Linked DNA regions of Drosophila melanogaster. The protein of the gene in region 1 purifies or fractionates together with the protein of each later gene. This does not show direct contact. Each region holds a gene or a part of one and is shown in the gene's direction. Other genes may lie near its edges. The genes, in order: JMJD7 and CG32450.

The links.
Region 2: the proteins of JMJD7 (region 1) and CG32450 purify together in Drosophila melanogaster (affinity purification with mass spectrometry, with the first as the bait; one large-scale study listed by BioGRID). This does not show direct contact.

What each region holds. Positions count from the first base shown.
Region 1 is NT_037436.4:13,448,423-13,452,344, reverse strand, and holds JMJD7 (jumonji domain containing 7), read left to right. Parts: upstream 1-2,061; 5' UTR 2,062-2,085; coding exon 2,086-3,036; 3' UTR 3,037-3,158; downstream 3,159-3,922. Other genes in the region: cmb (combover), read right to left, coding at 3,300-3,902. UniProt on the Drosophila melanogaster protein: Bifunctional enzyme that acts both as an endopeptidase and 2-oxoglutarate-dependent monooxygenase.
Region 2 is NT_037436.4:22,327,818-22,331,164, forward strand, and holds CG32450 (uncharacterized protein), read left to right. Parts: upstream 1-1,960; 5' UTR 1,961-2,076; coding exon 2,077-2,340; intron 2,341-2,399; coding exon 2,400-2,612; 3' UTR 2,613-2,840; downstream 2,841-3,347.

The sequences.
Region 1 (3,922 bases):
CCTCGACGCCCCACCCACTCGGGGGCGATCGCAATTTGACAGTGCTTATGACGGCGCAGCCTCTGTCGCCACAAAGAAGTACGCGCTGGCATGCAGCGAATGCAAGTGCGAGTGCAACTGCGAGTGCAGCGCCACGCGACTGACTCATTTCGGGGCTTGCCATGCAGCAGCAACAACTGTGCGAAATTTAAATAAATTGTGGAAAAATGCATTGCTCTGTGCGAGTTTGGCATTGTTTCCCCAACTGGCTTTTCGGCTTTCGGGTTTCGGTTCACACACCAATTGTTGTTGCTGCCCCTCATTTTTTTTTTATGACGCTTATCAGTTTTCAGTTTCGCAGGCCGAATTTATGTAAATCTTACAGCCAGTGATGGTATTTTAATTGCGTAAGAACTGTCATACGCACTGTTGGCGTTTGTTGATTTTGATTCTCTTTTTTTGGAGGGTATATGCGCTGCAGTCTATGGTTTGTAATGCATTGAAGGGAACTTTCACCGGAAGTGTCTATTATAGCCTATATCAGTTAAATAGCTATCAACATAAGACTCTATCAATCACTTTGGTTTATTTTTAAGCAGATTAGATTTGAAAATTTGTCTGATTGGAACTGTGTGTTTAGAGTCACAGAGTCTGATTGGCAAATTAAGACATCAATTTATTTATTTAAGCATAATTTTTTATGTTTCAGTTAAGTTAAACATTCTTTAATCGTTAGGGTGTGTAAACTTCGACGTTTGCAAGTATTTGCTTCAAAAGAGCATCGTACTTACTCTTTCACAGCCGCTTCATTGGCGTCCGACTGCTAATTGGACTGCAATTGGATTTAGTAATTCCGAAGACCGATATTTATAGGCCACGGAGTTTGCGTTCTTTTTTGTTTGCGCCCAGCTTCGCGAAGCGTGGCTACCAAAAATAATTGTTAGCTCTATTAAGACCTATTGGCTGGGTAGATCCAATTCACGCGGCACTTGGAAAGTTTGGTCACGTTCTCCTGGCAAAATGAAACAAACGCAGTGCCGCTGCAAAACTAGATATTCTCCGTCATTTGCGATTCCTGCATTAATGAAGCACTCGCTGTGCGGCGCGCGAATGTGCGATAATTTATTAGTGCCACATTTGCGACACAGATTTCGATTTCGGACCGCCGCCGGTGGCCACCAAGTCAATTCAATTTCCTCACGCGCACACCGCCTGACCCCTTTTGGCCACAAATAATAATGCCGGGCCTATGTCAGTCTATAAGTCTATCAGCACCAAATTTCGCCAAATCCCGTGGCCCATCGACACGATCCATTTAGCCACCCATCCATCCATCCGTCATCCGCCACCTGTTGCTCGAATCGCACCAGCTGAACTTCGAATCCGCGCGAATGTCGGGCATGCAAAAGAGGTGACGACCCTGATCCTCCTCTGAGTCGCTGGTGAAATCAATTGTATTTCACAAAACAAATAGAGCACCGACCGTATTCGAAAACAATTTGTTTCTATCACAAACACTCGACACGCGTCGTCTTGTTTGCATTCCAGTCCGCTCCACTTCCTATCCGACTGTCCGCAGCTTCGCGCGCGTCTTGAAAGTCCCGCACTCGCAAACACACTCGCGTCCAGTGGGACCGCGCCGAAAGCGCTGGAAAATACCAAGCGACTTGCAAATAAATACCACAGTTCTCAACACCATTGCAGTTTCAGAAAATACCACTTATATTTCTATACCACCAAATTCAAATTAATTATTAAAAGCAAAATCAAAATCAAAATGCACGCTAGACAACCTCTATAAGATAGATAGTAAGATCTTTCTTTTCTTAGCATTTTTGCATTTCACCGACGCGAATTTGACCCTTATCGATTTTTTCGGAATACCTTGCTTACTTACTTTAAAAACGTAACAAAAATTACAATAATAAATGTTTCAATTTAATTTGTGTATAATATATTATTTATTTAATACGTCATTTGGTGAAACTAATTAAATTCACTGCAGCACTTCAGTTTAACTTTCACTGAAAACCAGAACCCCACATTACACTGCGCTGATAAGGTCCACTCTAGCGGAAAATGCGTTAGTGCGTGTTGTTTACCGGCATGTCCGAGGTCGAAAGAGCTCTGGATGTTCTGCTCCAGGAAGCGGAGGAGCTGTGCATCGGGAGCAGCGTAGTGGAGCTGGACAGGATTCCAACCGCCTTGGAGTTTTGTCGGGAATTCTACTCCAAAAACCAGCCGGTGGTCATTCGCAAGGCACTCAATTGGCCCGCGATTGGCAAATGGACGCCAAAGTACCTGATCGAGGCTCTCGGGGACAGGAGCGTGGATGTGGCAATCACCCCGAATGGCTATGCCGACGGCTTGGCCACTCAAAATGGACAGGAGTACTTCGTTTTGCCGCTGGAGACGAAAATGAAGCTGTCCGAGGTGGTCCGCCGCCTGGATGATCCCACTGGTGCTGTCCACTACATACAAAAGCAGAACTCTAACCTCAGTGTGGACCTACCGGAACTGGCTGCTGATCTGCGGGTCAGTGATCTCGACTTTGCGCAGCAGTCCTTTAACAAACCGCCTGATGCTGTTAACTTTTGGCTGGGCGACGAGCGCGCCGTTACCTCCATGCACAAGGATCCATACGAGAACGTGTACTGCGTGATATCCGGTCACAAGGACTTCGTTCTCATCCCGCCGCACCAGCTTAGCTGCGTACCGCGAGGAATTTACCCTACAGGCGTTTACAAGACCTCAGATAGTGGTCAGTTCTACATTGAACCGTTGAGGGATGAGGAAGGCAGCGATCAGTTCACAGAATGGGTCAGCGTTGATCCCTTGTCACCCGACCTGGCCAAATATCCGGAGTACGCCCGGGCCAAGCCTCTGAAAGTACGTGTTCACGCGGGAGACATCCTATACCTGCCCAACTACTGGTTCCACCATGTGTCCCAAAGCCACAAGTGCATCGCCGTGAACTTCTGGTACGATCTGGACTACGATAGCCGGTACTGCTACTACCGCATGCTGGAGCAGATGACGTCCGCAAGGAGTGGCTAATAGAATCCGGAGAAGTATTTATTCTCAGGGATTGTTAGGTGAATTCAAAACCCTTCTTGTTTTCAGTGTATTTATATATATTATTGTTACATAATTTAGTGTTAAATAAAAAACTGATACCCAAAATGAGTTGCGAACTACGACTAAGGACACGACCATAAAAGATTTATCTTTTCCGAAATTCGTAAATGAAATATGAAATATCCGTACAGATGATGACTTCTTAAATAAGGAATGTTTGCTTTGTTGGGTTATTCTCTAGTCTATTCGAGACTGACGTCCTGTTTTTCTGCGCCGGAAGGCTCCGCTGCAGCCTGTCCATCTGCCTCCTCGTCGGGATTTTCGTTGTTCTCGCACTCCAGTTCGCCATTTCCCGCGGAGGAGACGTTCTTTTGGTCCGCCTCGGCCAAGTCTGCATCGTTATTCGAGTCCTGCGACTGGGATTGGGACTGTTTGCGCACACGCTGGTTCTTCAGCTTGGCCGGACTGGCTCCAGAAGGTGTCACCTTCGACTTGGTCTTGCAGCTATCCTGCGGCTGTTCCACCACAAACAGCTGCTCCAAATAAGAACGGTACCAAAGCAGGAACTCGTCCCGCTGTCGTGGTATGTCCATCTTCTTGATCTTGGCATATATGCGTTTGGGCGAAATTAGTGGCGAGCTGGCGGTCGAATTCTGGGCAGCAGTGGCCGTCAGCTTTGATACCTCTGCCAGTAGGGAGTCATTGATGACGGTGTTGTTGTGCGTCTGATTGCGAATGCGTTTGATAATGTACTCGATTAGTTCGTGATCCGGTGCCAGTTCTATGCTGGTCCCTGGTCCTGATCCCGAGCCAGAGGCTTGTTCTAGTTTTCCCTCGAGGATTTGCTGGTAAGGAAGACGCAATT
Region 2 (3,347 bases), 8.9 Mb from region 1:
CATAGCGTCTTTTGCTGTCTGCTTCCTGCCCCGGAACTCCGGAATGTTCCTTGCTTTTTTAAAGCCAAATCACTACGACTGCGCGTGAGCGTTCCCCGTCACTTCGCTTGCAGTGCGACAAGCGATTTTTCAAGTTGCCGCTTCATCGTTCTGCGGAGCTGCTTCTCCGTCTTTTTTGTTCGGTGCGGTTTCGGGGCTCTGCGTTCTGGGCGCCAACAAGTTCAATTTTCGGAAAAGGGCAGGAGCGCATCGAGAGCGGAGAAGCGAAGCCCCTGGGACTCCTCGAAACCGGCGAGTCGTGCGTTCTTGAGAACTTAAGGACCTCGACGCTGGTGAGTTCAACAAACATTTAACTGATTGCCTGGCGTGTCTTCGTGCCCAGCCCTGTCTGATTTTTTGATTTGCTATACACCTGGGAGCGGGACGGCCCTTGGCCACGAAAATGTTTAGCTTATTTGTTAGCGCTGCAAAATAAATTGTGTGTGCGTGCGGTAATTGTAAATTGCGTACGGGCAGACAGACAGTGGCGATTGTCAGTGGAGCAGCCGAGTTATTGGCACCTCTCCAACGTACGGGTATGCCATGAATTTTTGATCGAACAATGAGTGGATCGAGGGTTGCCACCTTTTGCCAATACGATGAGGTTGGCGAAGGCAGCAACAAACTAGGCTTTTGATTGCAAGTCCCCATCCCCATCCAATCCAATCTCGTTCCGTACGCCCCCAGCTAAGCCAATTCAATCAGGGGACCTGCCTGCAACCCTCTGAGTAATCCACTTTTGGCCTCCCGAAAGTGCGCAACAATTTCTTTTAAACTTCCTGCTGACACAAATCAGACCGAGGCCATAACTCAAACTATCTCCACCTCCGCTCGGCTGAATCAATAACCATAAACCGAAGCTCCTTATGCTCACGTGGAGGAGCCGCATAAAAAGTATGCCACATGCTCGGGGAAATCACTAAATTCAGCCTGAGGCAACGTGTACCTCATCATTTATGTGTGGCAGGGGCAAGAAACGGCGAGCCCGAAAACCAAGCAATGCCCACCTTCATAACTGAGAGTGCTTATCACGCCCACTTCCCCTTGATCCCCTCCTGCCGATACCGCCAACTACCGAGTACCGACTACCGTCTACATGTGACATTTGCATGCTTACTTAAACAGCAAAAAGCAGCATCTACGACAGCCACGTCGAGCTTGGCACGTCTGCGTCAACTATACTTTACATTTCGGCCAGACTGGTTTCGGTTTCGGTCTTGGTCTGAACCAGATGCTCAGTTGGAGTCTAGGACCCAGAAGGCCAAAAGAAGGAGAAGGCCCACTAGTGTTGTCAGTAGGCAGTCACAATCCTGTCGACGTCACATCAGCACACGTGTGTAGTAAAAATCAGACGTGTGGGCGCTGCTCGAGGAGCACACAGGCCTTGGCAATGTCGAGGCGCTCTAGTTGCCGCAGTCGATTCGAGTCGAGTCCTGCCTAGTCCTGCCTCCATGTACTTTGATTGCTTGCACGTTACCCGTACAATTTTCGGTATGATGGCGGCAACATTTCATGATTTCTTGTACGTGTTTCTGGCAGTAAGCACGCGTCCTTTCCTCTGCCGCGCACACCGTGTCCTGCGACCCTGGTCCTTCGCCCCACATCTATTCCGGCTCATGGGTTCCGGGGTAATGTATGCAAGCACTTTTTGTATATGACGCCGTTGCGCTTTGGGTCCTCGTCGTGTTTGTTTGCCTGGTGACTGATGATGGTTTGGCTGGTTTTGCTCAGCTCCCACTTTAGCTTCATTTTCCACCGCCACTTCTGTCGCTAGTTTTTCACCAGCAGCATCGATTCGAGCGTATGTCCTGCTAATAAATCAATGACGCCATTCCGGGGCTCCCAAGTAGGCGATGATTTATGTCTGGCTAAAGGGTTTTCACGAATACCGGGCCTAATTGAGTTGCCCTTGATGGATCAGTCATTTTTAGAGTGCTGCTTGTCCAGTACCAAGTAGAAGTCGCTTTAGAACAATCTAAAATTCGACGTTGCTGTTTTTTTTGGTTTAACATTCTCTATATACATTTTTTTAAAAATATGGATATAACGGTACCGCCGCCGGACTCGCACTGGTCGTTGAGGTTTGTGGACATCGTGAAGCCTTTTCCAAAACATACTTTGGCCAATGCCACTTATAAGATCATTCGCTTCTTTTACCCACCCTTTGCCCTGGAAACCGTCGATGTCACCCACGTGGTCAGCGATCCCGAGCTGAATAGTTTAAACGTGGGGCTGTTTGTGGTAGTTCCCTTAATTCTGGCCTGCATCGGCTATGGGGTGTACAAATATGTGCGGAGTATGGTAAGTTTTGTGCGTGGACCTATAGCCCCTGACCTCTGACCAAGTCTGACCTCGAGCAGCATACAGTGGCTAAACGGACACCATTAAAATTGTACGAGCTTGAACAGCGTATGAAAGACAAGTACGGTCCGGAATACAAGCAGGGAATCTGGAAGCGAAAGGACATTTCTGACCCCCTCCTATTAACCACTGATCCATCCGAACCAAAAGCAAAGAGATGTGAAAGCAGCAATGCCCACTGGCTGCGCAAAACCGATAGATCCGATGATTAATTAAATCAACACTCAGTTGGATCCCCACTCGGATATGACTGGGGATCTTAAAATCGAGAATCGAGGAAAGTACCTTCTCGAATCCAACCAGGCTTTGTACCCTTCTAAGCAACAAAATCGATATGATCCTTCAATTCCGTTTAATGATTGAGACCTTTTTTGCGACTGGAAAAGTGTCAGCTTTGGGCTTTCTCGTTTGGCGCAATAAAATGAAGTGATTGTTTGGTTTTTTATGTTGCAAAAACACACTGAACCCCGCAGAGCGAAGGGAAAGACATTGCACATAGGATTAGGTGGGGGTTTTGGGGCCAAGTCCTGGGTAATCATTTGGCAGCGCATGTGTCGGATTATTTTGTTGGTTTGCGTTTTATTTAAATTTGCTTCTTTCGGCTGCCTTTTTGCTCGTGCGGTGGTTGTTTGTCGCCCGAAAATCTGACAGCAGCTGAAAAGCATGCTAAGCTTCGTGCTTTCTTTTTGCTCTGGCTCAAAGCAAATTAATGATTTGCCATCAAGCAAATAAATCAAAAGCTTCAAAGCAGATCTCTGGCTTAGCGCGCTGCGCTGTGGTGCGGTGCGATGGGATCCTGGGGCTGGCTGCGATTTAAGTCCCTTTCATCTCGGCCTGCTCCACTTTAAAGCCAGTCCCGAATGCATAGTTTTATTTCGCAGCTATTTCCACTCAACTAAGCGCATGCATTGATGATATATCCCCTTCCGTGTGACACCCCTTCCCAT